2 linked regions of the Solanum lycopersicum genome follow. The protein of the gene in region 1 interacts with the protein of each later gene in a pairwise test. Links are inferred from orthologs where the notes say so. Each region holds a gene or a part of one and is shown on either strand. Other genes may lie near its edges. The genes, in order: EMF2 and MSI1.

Region 1 (8,532 bases):
TCCAGAAACACTTTACCTACCAAAGCTGACAAACAGGATGACAAGAGAGCCGGCCCTTATTTCAGCAGAGAGTTTATTCATTTCAGGGAGAATGAATTTTGCTTGAGCGCGATTTATCCCATCAACTCCACTGAATGAGGTAGACATGCATGCCCGCTTAAACTGATAGACAGCAGAATGCTGTAACCAAATGGCATTAGCAAGGTACCCAACAGCATAAAAGATTAAAAGTCACTGGATGTACTTGCACAAGATTAGAACTTACTCCCTCAGCAGCTGCAGCACTTGATAGTGGCTTTGCCAAAATTACACCCAAAGGAAACAAATTCTGGACCTGTGATTCATCGCTGACAGTTGCTGGCACAGATATTGTCATTTGAATCCTAAAAAAATTATCCACGGTAATAAATCACCTCTGAAACAATCTAATTGTAAGTATACAGACACTGCCATCACTTTTTGCTTCAAGTGTTGAAGTGAGAGATCATCTCTTCATGGCAAACCCATGCATTTCAGCGAAGTTCGGGCTTCAAAACAATTACACACAAATTGATCCCGGCAAGAAGTAGAGCCCGTTTGGCTTAACTTTAAAAAAAAATAGTTTTAAAAAAGTCAAAACTTTAGTAACTTCTAAGTTAAAAATGAAAAGTAGGGGAATACCTACTTTTAACTCCTCTCAAGTCTTTTTTTTTTTGACGACAAGGGAAACCCGCAGCCGCTACAGTTTTGGGTGCGCACAGGGTAAAACTCCGCTCCTATGCAATAGCTTGCAAACCATATAGGAGAGGTAACCCGCACTAGGCAAGCCTGGTGCGACAGCTTGACCCAGAATGCAAATCCCTTACTTTCGCTGGCAAGGGGTTTCGAACTTGAGACCTCCAACATGGAAGTTCCAAGCTCAAACCACCGGGCCACCCCGAAGGATCTTCTCAAGTCATTTTTAACTTATTTTAGTTACTTTTAACTTTGTCAAACACTCCCAAAAGCTAAAAATGACTTAATAGTAGGTCTAACTAACTTTTGAAAGCCAATCCAAACAGGCTTGTAGGTTGCTTCTTGAATTTCACCTTTCAGAAGTAGGAATTTTTGGGATAAGGTATTTTATTCAAAATGACATTTTTTAAACTGGGAATTCCGAAGGTCTAACGGCACAAGGTTCAAAACTTAATGGATAATAGGTCTAGGCCCTCTACCCTTCTCCACTTAAATATCAAGCTTCGCAGCGAGGTAATTGAATATCACATTTGAGGAGCTGAATATTTTTGTTAAGTAAAAGGTACTTTATATTGGATGCGAAAATTAGTTATTTTACTTGAAATTTGCTTGTTAGTGTACAAATTTCATATAAGTTTTGCTATTTTTTAATAATATGTAAATTGTGCATTCACTTAAAAAGTTGTGGGCTTCTCTTTGCTTTTTTGTTTCAAACTTGTGCACCTATATGATTTTAATTTTTTTGACATTTGATGAATTATGGGGTGGTATAAGAGTAACACGTACGATATTGATCACCAACTACATAGTGAACGATATTACGTTTCATCAGCTATTTTTTTTATGACAAGGGAAATCCGCAGCCGCTACATCCAAATGTGCACAGGGTAAAAACCCCTCTTCTATGCAATAGCTCGCAAACCACATAGGAGATGTAGTTTCATCAGCTATTTCAAACAGTAGTTTGCATGCAATTTAGAAAACTTGCCAGCAATAACTAGATCTGTCTTTTAAGAAGTTACTTTGCAGCCATAAGGCGAAGCCAGTGTAGTCAAAAGGCGTGCTTTAAGTGTGATTAGGCCATGAAGCGAGGCTCAAAACGTGTTGAGCACTTCGCCTCGCTTTATATGTGTTTCAGTGTCATCCTCGAGGTTCTAAGGCAAACTTTTCCTTGCCTATGAGCCTATTCTGGAGAAATGATACTAAACAATTGATATTTCACTTATCATAATTTTTTTCCAATTTCTTTGGTCATATATTTGTCATTCATCATTCATGTTTATAATTCTTTGACTACACATATATATTTTAATTTTTTCTCCCTTTGCGCCTTTATCATTAAAGCTCATGCTTTGTGTGTGTTTGCTCTTAAAGCCTCAACGGGCCTTAGAGCTTTTTTGCACTTTTCGCCTTCGATAACACTGGTGAAACCACCATATCATACAAGCTACTATACAAGTCTTAAATGTGTAAGCACTTACTAACAAATTTTATAAGGAAAAATGTTTAGACTTTAGTAGTACTACAAAGTTTAATCATTGAATCAAACTGTGAAGACATCTTGTCACTAGGAACTTGTTTGATTTAGATCACTGGATTCTCGACAATTCATTAAATTTAATACAATAAATATTGACTGAACAGCCATTGTCACAAAAAAAAGGACTACATAATTAAGACAATTCAAACAAACATTCCCAATGGAATAAAGTAATGAAAGTCATGTCTCCACAAAAATTTAGATTTCACTCCAAAGCAACATGGACAATATCACATGACAACTAAAAGTACCTCAGAGCATCTAGTATAGAGTACATGAGACGTAACCTTGCATGAAGGAAAAATTGGGAGTGAAAGCAATCACAATCATATATACCTTCTTTTGTGCTTTGCTTGAATTTTGTACTGTAAGCATCTTTGAAGGAATGAAGGCTGCAAGATATTTTACAGTCTTTAGAAACATCTTACACAAAATGCCGATTATGAATGTATAATTAGCATGTCATAAACGTGATGAGAACAAACAAATTAAATCTCATAACAATTGGAAACAAGCAAAAAAAAGAAGCCCGGATCTAAAACATCAGTTCAAAAGCATGGCTGAGAGAAAGATAATAATCTTTCATATACTTTTCCATAAAACACTTGGAACTGACATAAGATGTGTTTACTTAGAACATCATGGCTGAGAAGAATGATAATATTGTTATTTTGTTACCATAAAGACTTTAAGTGACATTCAAAACCAATAAAAGCAACAATATTTGTAAGAACATTAACATCAACTTGGAAATTGACACCAAAATCATTAGCATTGATGATAAATAGGCAAAATTTATCTCCTCATGTAAGTACATTACATTTCTAACAGCACGGCGTTGGAGAATATTGTAGAGTTCAACAGGTTTGCAATAACTTGAAAGGCTTTCTTCAGCAGCAATCTCCTCCTCTGCAGACAAATGTGTAGCAGAATCTTGCCTGCACATTGAATCCGTGGCTGTAGAGTAACTGCAGTAGCAAGTGTAATTCCTGTTCCAAAAATTATAATATAACAATCATCATCCATGCTTCTTAGGTGCATTTGAGTACCTTAAAATGTAATTATTGACAATACAAATATAACACCTCAAATGCAGGGCACAGGAAATATCTTACGTGGTTTCACGAGCCACTAAAGGTATGCCTGGCATCCTTGTCACAAAGTATTCAAATGTATATTCATAGTTCTTTCAACTTCACTAAATTCAGAAATTAAAATTGTGTGAGAAAAGAATCATTAAGTACTTGATATAATAGGCAACAAGGGACAGAAATATAATTGATAAATTCTGATTCAGCTTTCTCCTTCAGATAATACATGAGTTTTCCTACTCCTCTCTTTTCTTTAGTTGCGGAGGAGGGAGATATTCAGAAAAATCATTCTCATCTCACTTGAAAAAACATAGCCATGAAGTCTCACTATATCAACGTATGAATATAAATAGCCTTGCTAAAAAATGCAGCCAAACAACCATTTTAAGAAGAAGATATAATAAAGAGATTGAGATTACATGTTACAACCCATGTTACAACCCTTTTTGATAAGCAAATAACCAATAGAAAGCTACTGGAACTACCAGGTGCAAAATGTGAATGGAGCTTAACATGGCAACTCGTGTGCAGCTTCTTCATCAAGCGAAAGGGATACACATGCGGCTATAGCATGATAAAATCTTTGTTCTTCGATTTTATAAAGGAAAAGGAACCAGTGGCTATAGCATGATAAAATCTGTGTTCTTTGATTTTATAAAGCAAGGGGAACCACAGCAATATATGTTGCAACTCATGTATAAATGGCTTGGTAAAAATACAACAGTCGTCGAAAAGCTAGAGTTCAACTGAAGGAAGAATAGGTTGCCCATAATATACATTCAACGGTATTAATTACTCAAAAAGAACAGGAACATTGTCTCCCTAACAATCAAGATTGATTCACAAAAGAGAGAGATCCATAACATTTTTGTCTCTAGTGTAAAATATGAATAATTGAGTCTCTCATGCAGTGACTTGACCAAGAAAAGGTGATTCTCTCATATAGTGATCTGAGAATTACCAAGAAGAGAAAAAAATCATGGAGATCACAAAGATCTTCACGTGATAGTATCTGAAAACCAGTCAAATTTTTTCTTAGTTCTTACCTTCCCAATATCAGCATCCCCCGGCACCACTCCAAATATTCCTCCTACACTAATGCAAATATGTGCTTCTCCCTATCCCTTTCTTAATAGTTAATCCCCATTAACCCTTCACGAAAGAAAGAGTCTGGCAACAACATGAACCTTCACCTTACCAGACCAGTTTCTCAACAGTGAGCAATTCCATTTACTTGAAGCCGAGAAAACTATCTCCACACAAACATAACCCACTGGGATTATTGATCCATCCAAACTCGATCTATAGCTCATCTACTATATTCATTCCAGGACAAATAATTGCTGAATTTGGTCTTTAAAAACTTTAAGCAAATTGAACTACAACTTCCTTTAGTTCAGCCTTCAAAACACGCATAAAGGAAGAATATTTTGGCCTCTGTAAATCTGATCCTACTAGAGGGTAATCTGGAATACCTTTGGTAGGTCTGAGAACCCCTCTATGATCTAATAGAACTCCCTGTTTCTCAATAAGTTCCTAAGTATAAAGAAAAGTTTCTGAATTCACATAATAAAGATGTAGTTTTCAAATCTCACTAAGATGAATGACATAGAGATACTCTAGTCCATTATTTATCAACAAAAGACTATTTCTCCCAAATTTGCAAAGCAAAAGGGCTATACAATCAGAAAACTATAATCAATTTGCAGCCGAAACAGCCAGTCCTGTGTTTTTCAGGTTGGAATAAAGAACATCAATTATCAAAAAAAAAAAAATTGTTTTCGCACATAACCTAGCTCTGTCTTTATTATTTTCTTTGTTATACTTGTGGTTCCTGCACCAGCTTACACACACCTTGGGTACATGGTACCTCTTACAAGCACACTTACCCACTAACTCAGCTCACCAAAGCTTAGCAGATGCAAAGAACTCACCTAATGCCGCCTTTGCTCGATTGCAACTGAACACAAGGGTCATTCTAGCAGTTCATTTCTTGTTTGTGTTTCTTTCTTTCTTTCCTTTTATCCATCACGTTATTAGGTAACTCCAAACAACCATAAAATCCAATACTTAAGACTTCACAGGTAAGCTCAAAAAAAAAAAAAAAAAACAGCTAACACTGGAATTCCCAAATCGCTGATAATTCAAAGGCAAAACATGGATATATGCAAAGTTAAATCGTCGCAATGCTCACAATAATTAGAAAAATGGATTAGGGATTTTGCCCCACGTTATAGACAGGAAAGAACGTAACCTACAACTGGATTTCGCCGAAGATGATGGAGGAAGGTGCTCTCTCTGTCGATTCGCCGGAAGAAGAAGAAGACCGGTGCCGTTTGAGATTGGCGGGCCTGAATCAGTCGGATTTTAGGATCCGTTCTTGGTTTCGGTTCGAACTTTGACCGCTCAACCAGAGGCGTTTTGGGGCAGGGTCAAGTTTTAACTGGGAACAGGAACAATCTGAACGGAGCCACTTTTAAGGGGTTGTTTGGTGTGAAGACCAAATAGTCTTTGGAATTAATTAAAGTGCACTTATTTCGTTGTTTTGGTTGATCAGTTCAACATAATTTATCTCGAATTTAATAATTTATTTATCTGTCCTTAATTATCTATTTATTTTTGAATTAATGGTATACTTAGGAAGAAAATAATTATTAACCTAGTGAATTTATCATTTTACCCTTATTAATTATAAAGTGAATTAATGAATATTTTAAGGTTTTTAAAAAGTTCTATTTTTTAAAATAATTATGAGGGCATGATTAATTTAAAAATTATCATTTCTTGATTTGTCAAAATAAACAAGTAACTAAAAATAGATTAAAAAAAATAGACAAGTAATTAGAGACAAATAAAATAAAATTAAGATAAATTATTATTATTATGGTGGAACAATAATGCTGAAGTAACTATTTTGGTATTTATTACCATTTTAGGGTGGGGTAGCTATGTTTTTAGAACTTATTACCATTAGTTGTTTGCATCTTACTTGTTATTTTTGTTTTTGAAAAAATAAATATTAAAATAATTTATTTCGAGATAAAATAATTAAAATGACAAAAATGCCTTTTAAAATTTTTCATACCTCAAAATAGCAAAAGAATATTGATACTTCCAAAGTGCATTCATTACATGTATAAAACACTCACAACAAGGGTCAAAATGGGTACTTAAGTTCACACAAAGTAGTAAAATTTGGCCTATTAATTCAATTGAAATTGGATAATTATGACTTGTTTGGAAAAATTGTTAAAAGAGAGTTGTATCTGTTAAGTTTATTAATGAGGGGTAAACCTATTTTTTATTATAACAAATATTTGTAAATAATGTAAATATTATTTGAAAATGAATAATTGGGATAGAATTAAAATTTTTGATCGATTCGAATATGTTGAATCGTATGGATGAATTAGACAATCTCATTTGATCCGAATTTTAGCAATAATTTCTATGATCCTTTTCATGACGGTATATCAATAAAATGAGAAAAGTAGAGGAGTCCGTCTAAATGTCTCACAAAGTGATACAACATACCAACAAGATGCAACTTAATAAACAAATGTCTTAAGCAAATTATAATTATAATAAAAATTTAATTGAAAGGGGTAACTCACCTCGGACTACGATATTCAGGTTGGCATATTCTCACTATAGTGCTTGGAAGAGGTTTGGGTGTCTAGATCTCATATCCTTCTCAATTTTTCTTGCCATTTCTTCGATGTTCTTATTTCTCCAAAGACCTTTACCGAAGCTATGTATTTGGTCCTCATTATGATTTCTAGTGATCATGTTCGTCAATAACTAATCAAAATAAGTTTAACTTGCTCCATTGTCAGGTGTACTAAATCAAGTCCAACCAATCATGAATTACCCGCCTATAACCAACTAATAGGGGATGTGCATTTTCGTCCCTACAAAACTTCATAAGGCGTCATGACTCATCCTAATATTAAAATGATAGTTATTATTATATGCAACTCAATAAGAGGTAAGTGATCATTCTCAATTTTTCTTGAATTTTATATCACATACTCATAAGATATTCTGAAATGTTTTAACTATTGTGTGCTCGATCTGACCATCTGAGTCCTTCTGGAATGACTACTAAAAAGTAGATATAAATTGTGCTCCTCAATCATAAATGATTAATACTAGGACAACGTGGAGACTGACTATATATATCAAAAATACAACTATACACAATCATCGTTCATATAAGTATAGTGACAAGAAATGGGTTATTTTGTTAGTTTGTCAACAATCACTTAAATAGAATCAAAAGTATTTCGCAAATAGGTTAATTGTGTAACATAATTCATAATTGAATACTTCCCACATCAGGAATAGTCATATCATGTATTATCCCATCACACTTATGTCTAACTTTTACATACTGACAATTGGTACACTCAGTCACAAATTCAATTTGGATCCTCTTAAAATCATGATATGTCTTCATTGATCATGATTGAATAAAATAATGAAAATGATATGCTTCCACCATAATTATTAACTATTTGAGTCCTGTAACATCTGAAATATGAAGTCAATTATAATATCTCTTTTTGGCTCATAAGTATGAGAAGTTGTCCATCGATCTGCGATTTAGGGCATCAATTATCACATTTGCCTAATTCGAATAATACAAAATATCTATATCTTAATCTTTTAATGATAGGTCTTTAATTTATTAGAACATTCATTTTCTTTATGCTCATATTTTTCACATTTAAAACACTTTATTTTAGATGGAGTTTCAAGTTTATCTCTTTTACCTAAATCCTTGTAATCTAACTTTAATTTGCCTATGTAAGTCTTGCTTTACACCTTTAGGTTTGTCCCAAGTTTCTAAACATGGAAAAACTACATAACATAGTAAAATACAATTATTACATATTAAAGGCATATAGCTATATTATACTTTATATTTTAATGAAGAATATGTTTAATTATTAAATAGTAAATACAATTATACACATATAATTAAGTTTTTCCAACCTCCTTTTAGTGTTCCACTTCCCTAGTTTCCACCTTCAAAGTTTCTCTTTCAGTGTATCCCAAAATCACCATTTCTATCCCCCAATATTTCTTACAATCAACGGTCCTTTGCATGATTTCATGAGCTATTTTATGATTCAGATTCTTCGAATCTCTTCTAGTTTTGATTTTTTTTTCTTTTTCATCGAA
Region 2 (8,532 bases), on another chromosome or scaffold:
AATCTCAGGTTTACTGCAGCCTGCAGATCTTAAAGGGAACATTATATATAAAACCTCTAGTGATTTCTGTGAATCATCTAAAATAAATCCCATGTAACGCCAGATGTGGCATTCAAGCGTAGATGTTAAATGTATCACTGAGCAGAAATGGCCTTTTTTGACACAAGAAAATATCACTGGTTAAAACTGAAGTTCCTTTTAAAGTACATGATTTCAAATCCTTAACGCAATGATATCTCTAATGTCAAAGTCCAACTTCAATACACAAGTTGTCACAAAGGAGAAACAATGGATTGATACCACCAAAACAATTCAGTGAATAAGTGCAATCCCAGATACTGAGACTTGGATCAGAAACTCAGATTCGGACCACATGATAATATAATTGTACATCTGGATTATCATGTGCACAAATCAACATGGAACTTCAATTCTACACATGCCAAAACTCAGTAGAGCATATGACGTAGTCATTTTCACATGCTAGGACAATTCAGTACAATATTGACTCGAGCACACAACAGAATGAGCCTATTTCAGAGTTCCAAATCACATGTTGAGTGAGATGACAAAGTTGCAACCTATAAAGGAAGTGCCAAAATACTAATCTAGGACTAAAAGGTGTTTTTCCAAATAAATGGGCAGTAGCAAACAATGAAATGGGATAGTTTTCTAAGGAGTACAGGGATTGACGCCATGTGGGAGAAGAGGGAAGGAATAGAGATGATAGATCACAACTCTAGGTGAACTATAGCTGGCAAGATAAGGCAGGTGTTAACTTATAGATGGAATAATTAAAATTCAAAACATCAAAGAGCAAGATAGAATAAAAGCACCCACTGGACCGACAGAACATTCACTCTGATATTATGAAAATACTAGTAAGGATAGTTGGAAGAGTAACCTGCTGAGATCCCAAACCATGAGTCTCCTACCAAGGCAACAAGAAGCTAAAATGGTTTCATTCTTTGGATTCCACCCAACCTGGAAAACTTCCTCCCTGCAGAAAAGTTGCAAGGAAATTAATGATAAGCAACTGTAAATACAGATGAACAAGCTTCTATTATACTATTTAACACGAATGATGACGGAGCCAACATTTTCCTCAAAAGTATATGTAAGGAAGACATCTTACTTGTGACAATCCAAAGTATGAAGTGCAGTAGAAATCTTGCGTAGATCAAATAATTTAACTGTCTTGTCTGTAGACCCCGTTGCTACAACCCATTCATTAAAGGGGTTGAAAGCTAAGCAGTTAACCTGATCAAAAGAGAAAGGAGGTCAATCATGTACAATCATCAACACAAGACTGCTTGTTCACAAAAAATCTAGATAACTGCATTCAGAAATGTTTTTCATAATAGGCCATGTGCAGTAATGATCATCCTTCTATGATATTGTACATTTAATAATCAGCAGAGAGTATGGAAGGCAGGATCTTCTCCTTAAACCATTTAAAACGAAACAGAAATTCATCCAGACATGAGCATCACATTATAGTTTACACACACAGCAATCACTTGTTTGCACATCCAATAATGTAAACCCACGAAAATGAAAAGAAAAAAAAGTACAGGTAAAAATTGGGAAACACTAATTCTAGTTTCAAGAAAAACTATAATTATTTTGTAAGCACAAGATCCTCACATTTCTGTGCAAGAAAATCAAAAGACTGCCAACAATGTTAAGAAGACATATCTGAGTGGTTCTTACACCAGTCAAAAGGGAAGCATTATTAACTACATAAACGTGGAAAAGTCCAGCTAAGAAGTCTAAGCCGCACCTCACTTTGATGTGCAACTACAGATTGTATAGGCTTGGTCACTGATGGAGTTCGCAGATCCCATACGTGCAAATACTGATCATCCCCAACAGAGCCAAATAAATACTCATGCCTCAGATGCCAAGCTACATCCTCAACAACACCTTCATGAACCTACACATTTTAAATATTAGAATAAACCAACAACAGCTGACAAAAGCTTAATGAGAAAATAATACGAGAGACAAGATTCTTGTCCATGCTAGGTAGACTGAAGCTTCAGACAGCAAATAGTAGAGAAGATGATACCAAAAATATCCTTTGAGACAAAAGTTGGGACACTATTGAAGTTACAGTTTAACTTTGTAACATGATATTAATAAAGAGAACTCATGCTATTCTGCTTCGCTTGATCTTTTTTTACTTCGAGGTGCCTGGGGGTGTTTGCTGGAAGGGAAAGCATACAAGTTCTTCTCCAATTATCAATTATGGTTATTTGCACAAGATAAAACTACAAGTAGTAAGTGGGTGCAACAAATTGATAATCTATGCAGTGTAACATGGCAATATCTATCCTCTGCAGACTCGTCAGAAAAAAAAACACGAGGCAAACCTTAAATATCTGCATAGCCTCTAGAGCCTTATTTTTGGGAGTGGCATTAATGTCCCATAAACATATATGTGAGTCATCTGAACCACTCAATAGATGACCCTGCTTAAATTGACTCCAAGACAAACCATACCCCTCTGTACTGTGGCCTCTTAACCTCAAATCTGGATTGCATGCACCATCTAGAGGAGGCTTAGATGGATGTTTACTGTAGTCAAAAACATATACTTCAGCACTAACTGTCTTAGTTGCAATGATAAATGGGTTTTGGGGCATATATCGAGCCCGATTAACCTCTCCATCGTGATTTATTTGCTGGATTATTTGTACCTGAAAGAGAAATATTTATCATTATACATAAGCCACTCAATGTTGAAACAGAGACAAGAAATTCACTCTGATATTATGGGAAATAATAGTACAGCAAAAAGATATCAGAGTAAGGCCTTCAAGTGATAATTGGAACTGACAGACCATTTTTAAAACCTTTTTAGAGAATAAGATTTTACAGTTCCATGCCCTCATCATAAATAGAAGAATTCATTATCAATTTATCACTGACTCTATGTGGATAGTACCTTTGATATCTGTGACATCAATCTACACTAAAAGGTGATAGTCATAAGTGGTATTCTCATAAGCTTTTTAAAGTTCTAGCTGACTATTCAAAACTTCATCAGTTTTCTCCTGCAGCAATGTTGCTTCCAATCATCTTCACATTCAAATGAGTGGAGCAACTAAACCATTAGTTTTAGAACGCTAGCCGAATCAGGAAGCATTGGCTTTGTTACAACCCATTTCACCTAAGCTACCAGCAAATCACTACTGATTTGGGGTCCAAGCATCATTATTCATATATGATATAAAAGCCTCAAGTGCCCTTTATGAAGAGAACCTTTCAACAATATCAGGACAGAGAAAGAAGCAGAGGAATAATAAAAACTACAACAACGCATAAAATTTCAATAAGAAAATGTCAGTCAAAGAGTTCACTCTGCCCAAAGGGATTGACCTATTAGGTGCCCTTATTTGGTGTGGTGGTGGGTCAGAAAATGGTGCACTAATTATGCTAGGCCCCCTTTTTTCCCCTTTGGTGAATTTTTGATGAAATATTAACTGTACCTTGAGCAAAATCCATGAATGAACTGACAACTTCCAATTCACAACTCCCTAGTACCTACGCTGCAAAGGAGAAAACTTTGAGCCAACGGTCTATTGTAAACAACCTCTCGAACTCCACAAGGTAGGAGTAAGTCTGTGTACACACTACCCTCTGGGACTACACTGGTTACTTGTTATAGTGTTGTTAATAAACTTTAAACCATTTACTATATAACATAATCCCAAAGCTATCAAAATTCAAGAGATTCTTAAACAGGCTGCCCTAGAACAACTAAACTCTAGTACAAAACAAGTAAATCTCAGACGTTAACACTGAAATTAGCCAGAAAAATGTAGTAAAATAAAACATCCAGAAAATGAAAACCCATATAAAACAGCCAAACAAGGCATAAAACAGAATAGATTCAAACCTTGCCATTGGCACAACCAAATCCGCCAAATTCAGACCGATCATCATCATAGTGGCGGGCATCATTCTCAGCATCCTCAAGAGGCAGCTGAACCTGAGCAAGCATGAGATAGTTAGGCTCATTTTCCGATGTATGAGTCCCCAAAATCATCTTCTGAACGGAATAATCCTTTCCCGACGGCTCTTCCCGGTCCGGTAACCATTCGACGGTGAGCGAAGGCCATTCAAGCGCGTGAGTAATAACCAGATCGTAAAGAAAAGGAGTATTCTTCTTCCAAATCTTGTACTCCTCGTTTATCAGCCTCTCCTCAATTTCACCCCGCATCTCATCTTCGTCTTTCCCCATTAAACAATTTCAAGAATTGCCTTAAGATTTTTCTTCTTCTGTTTTGAGTGCGTGAGGGTTTGGGTTTTGTGGAGTTTGGGGATTTTTACGAGGGTTTGTAGAGAATTGGAGGGAACGGTATTTTTCAGTGAATTTTCTTTTTCTTTTTTTCTTTTTTTTTGCGGGATATGTGCAAAGCTAAAAGGGTTTTATATTGCGACGACATTGGGCTGTGTGACCCGAATTACGAATCGGTTGGATGTGCAGGTATCTTTACATAAATAGCCGCCAAATTTATCCTCTAGCCCCATTAAATATAAACTATTTTTACTTTGTTAACTACTCCCTCTATCACTATTTACTTATTCATGTGACCACATATTCTTTTATATCTATTCCTATTTACTTGTCTATTTTAACAAATCAAGAAAGGACAATAATTTTTTTTCCTAATATGTCCTTATTTAATTTTAAAAAATTTCTAGTATTAAAGGATCCTACAATTAATAATTAGTACCGATATAAGTTATTTCTTTTCTTGAATGGTATAATAATTCTGAAATAACTTATCCATGGACAAAATGACTAATTGACAAAAATATCCCTTTAAACACTTTTTATATATTACTTCTCACATTCATGAAGGGTGTTCTCGTACACATATATGTTGTTTAGAAGATTTATTATTTTGAATACAACAAACCAAATAGTCAATAAAAAATATTCTTAGCATAACTTATTTCATCATAATTAATTCCATCAAATATGAATTCAAACCAAACGAGTCACAATATTATCGAGAAATTTCTTGTAATTCTATTTTTTTTTGTTATATATTGCACTTGGATTATCATATTACTTTGTCATAGATGCTTGTGTTTTTAGTATGAATTTTCTTGTTTGCTTTAATATTTTTTCTTGATTCCTTTATTTTGAATGTTTCCCTTTTTATTATGATTAGTAAGGTTTGATAATTGAGTGGAGAGTATAAAAACAAAACTTTATTTTATTTAATATGAGTAGAATTTGTATACATATTTACCTTTTAATATTCTGTAAAAATACGTTAAATATGTTATTGTAAGATAAATATATCATAAAATTTATTTGGTAATCTACTAAAAATGAAAATGAAAATATATTATACCTTAATTGTATGTTCAGAGTGGACCTATATACCAAGAGCAATAAAATTATGAATAAGAATATCCAAGATAAGGACAGAGTAACCTCTTGTGATAGGAAGAAAGTAACTCTGAGATGATCTAAACGTATGAATAAGAGATGTGCATATGCTGCACTGAGGAGATATGAGAGGTTAGTTATAGTAGATTCGAGAAGCAGTAGAATAGGCAGAAGAAGTATTCAGAGAGCTAATCAGTCACGACACAAAATAACTTCTAATTACCAAGAATACTATCTTAAACATGAGGGCGTGGAGGACACTCAATGGGGTAAAAGGTTAACAAACAATGGATGTTGATGTTTGTTGTCGTATTATTTGTAATAATATAGTTTTTGCTTTTGATATCTATCATTGTTTGTTGTTTATTACGTTTCGATTATCATACGATTCTTAACTTCTTATTCCTTCTCTTGTAGGTTTTACATTGATTCCCTTATTAGTTGCTAAATAATCTTCATGATTTTTTTCATCTTCTTTTATTCAAAAAAAATAAATTACTACACTTGAGTTGATAATCTTTCAAAAGCAATTTTTCTAACTCTACGAGATAGTCATAAAATCTACTATTCCAGTTATTAAATATTAATTTAAGGAAAAAGGGCCAAAATACCCTCAACTTTGTGTTATTGGTTGATTATACCCTTATCGTTAAAGTAGAGTTATTTTTATCCCCTACTGTTACTATTTTCACCAGTTTTACCCCTTAACTGGATGGAAAATCCAAATCAACTAAAATTACCCAATTTCAATTGTATGACCTGATTTTCTCATTTTAATAAGAGCCCGACCCATTTACCAAATTTAAAACCCAAATCAAGCTCCAACGACCCAAAAATCCCATTCATTTTCTCCTTTTTTCCGACGAAACACCACCGAAACAACCTCCAAACGACCAATTGAAACCACCACTCAAAAGCCACCAAACCCAGGATCAACACCAAACAGAAAACATTAACAACAAACCCATTTTTCTCTACTTTCTGGTGCCAATACAAGACCTTTCGTCTCAATTTTCTGACAGTTCTAAGCTGAAACAACATTAAACAAATCACCCACCATCGGAATCATTCAAACAGTTGCGAAACCGTTCTAAAACAACTCTCAAACACCATCCTTTCCATGCCAAAATCTGATAGTAAAACCACATTTCAGCCCACCAAAACTCAGACCTCCATCACCCAAGCTAAAATAACCAGCAAATGATCACCAGACTATCGTTCTCCAACCTCCAAACAACCAACAAACAGAACCCCCACCGGAAAACAACTGAAAGCACCGTTAATAAATTAAACCAACAACATAATTAAGCGAGCATCAAGGCTGGAAAACAACAGCCACAAATTGATAGAAATGAGATCCAAAAATTAAAGTTGGAACGTAGGGATTGGTAGCAAATCTGATCACATATTTTAGTAACATGTGTTTCAACAGAAAAGAGATGGAGAAATTAAAAAAATGTGTTTAGGATTTTAATTTGATATAATGAATCAAGTTCGATTAAAAGAGAAAATCGGGTCATTCAATTGTAATTTTAGTTTATTTAGTTTTTTCATCCAATTAAGGGATAAAAATGATGAAAATAGTAACGGTAACGGTAAAAATAACTTCACTTTAACGATGAGAACATAATCAACTAATAAAACAAAGTTGAGGGGCATTTTTGACAATTTTCTCTTTATTTAATACCATTTGTATGATTTTAAAAAAAAAACAAACCCGCATATATCATAATTCTAGTTGATTTTGGCGCGCTGTTCAAAATTCGCCCAATGAAGGAACCCTATTTTTCAATTGCAAAGCGGGAACTCAAAAACCTTTCACTATCCAGATCAACAGCAGCATCTTCCACAATTTCCGTCAATAAGATGCGCCGGATGCCGCCGTGTGAACCCAGCAGTGTCGGATCGTCTACATCCTCCTCCAACTTCGGCAATATCTCTCCACCGGCGTCCGTGATTCCGATACAAGCTTTGCCGGTAGTCGCCCTTCATCTAAACCCTTAAATTTATCCTCTCTCGTTTTGGATTTTCCTCATTAGATTCGCAAAAAACTAGAAGACAATCTCCAAAGCCTAATGAAATCCTTAAATTTCCCAGTGATATTGGACAACTCTGCATTACGCGCCCCTGGGACACCTCATTATTGAGCTAGTCTATACACAGCAATTCACCGTCTTTGTTCAGTTGTGTAAATTTGATAATCACGGCCTGAGTTCTGCTCAACCACCTGCTTCGGAGAATAAGGAGTTGAGCAACGCTATTGAGAGTTATTTGCATTACCTCAGGGGAAAAAGATGATCAAGTGGACGAATTGGATCATCAATTTAAGCAGGAGTTGGAACAAGAAAGGGAGCGGTTAATTGAGAATGAGAATGTTTTGGAGGGATGTGAAGGCTCAAGAGGAGAAGTTGGAGGCAATGGAGACAGGTCCATCAAAGGAAAACGTGTTGGAGAATGAGAAGAGTGCATTGGAGGAAGATGTAAAGAAATTCCATGCCATGATTGAACAGTTAGAAGGGCATATGATGGCGATGGAGAAAGGCTTGGAGACTATGGTTGCAGAGAAGGAGATGATTTGTGTTGAGAACGAGGAGTTGAAGAATAGGGTGGAGGATCAAGCGAATAATGCCAGGGATGCAGAGAGGATGAAAAGGGAGGTCCTGACTTTGGAAAGGGATATTGAGAACCAGAGGAATAGATGGGAGGAGAAGGCGTGGACCTCGACTCTGCAGCTAGGAATGACTACAAGAATCTGGAGGAGCTGATGCTCAAGTGCAACCAATCTTTAAGGAGGTATAGTCTCATACTCTTTCTTATTGTTAATTGTTGTTTGGAAGAACAATGACTTTACTTCCATTTGACATTACGAGATTTAAGTTTCCATTAATCCAAGGTTTGTTGTTCTTTAGGCTAGGATTTGTTGTATTGCCATGCTAGTTTAGTTGGACCAAATAGAGCTGTAAGAGTATGAGTAATAAGACAAGGATGGAAGGATATTCTATTGTATTGTCCACCTCAGTTGATTGCTTGCAAGTAGCATTCAGTTAATAGTCATAGCTCCCATTATATCAAGTTGGCACTCAGCCTCTATGCATATTGAATTCTCAGCAGATAATTTA

Evidence for each region.
Region 2: the proteins of EMF2 (region 1) and MSI1 interact in binary tests that used the Arabidopsis thaliana proteins (3 or more experiments, as listed by UniProt). The link is inferred for Solanum lycopersicum from reciprocal best matches to the Arabidopsis thaliana genes EMF2 and MSI1.

What each region holds. Positions count from the first base shown.
Region 1 is NC_090802.1:51,954,824-51,963,355, forward strand, and holds the start of EMF2 (polycomb group protein EMBRYONIC FLOWER 2), read right to left. Parts: upstream 5,736-8,532; 5' UTR 5,604-5,735; exon of another isoform or gene 5,600-5,603; intron 3,453-5,599; 5' UTR 3,405-3,452; coding exon 3,370-3,404; exon of another isoform or gene 3,340-3,369; intron 3,244-3,339; coding exon 3,075-3,243; intron 2,647-3,074; coding exon 2,591-2,646; intron 384-2,590; coding exon 266-383; intron 181-265; coding exon 21-180; intron 1-20. UniProt on the Arabidopsis thaliana protein: Polycomb group (PcG) protein. Involved in flowering processes by repressing unknown target genes and preventing reproductive development.
Region 2 is NC_090800.1:88,996,242-89,004,773, forward strand, and holds the start of MSI1 (WD-40 repeat-containing protein MSI1), read right to left. Parts: upstream 4,392-8,532; 5' UTR 4,250-4,391; coding exon 3,905-4,249; intron 2,703-3,904; coding exon 2,376-2,702; intron 1,937-2,375; coding exon 1,784-1,936; intron 1,261-1,783; coding exon 1,136-1,260; intron 1,001-1,135; coding exon 905-1,000; intron 1-904. Other genes in the region: kinetochore protein NDC80 homolog, read left to right, coding at 7,780-8,178. UniProt on the Arabidopsis thaliana protein: Core histone-binding subunit that may target chromatin assembly factors, chromatin remodeling factors and histone deacetylases to their histone substrates in a manner that is regulated by nucleosomal DNA.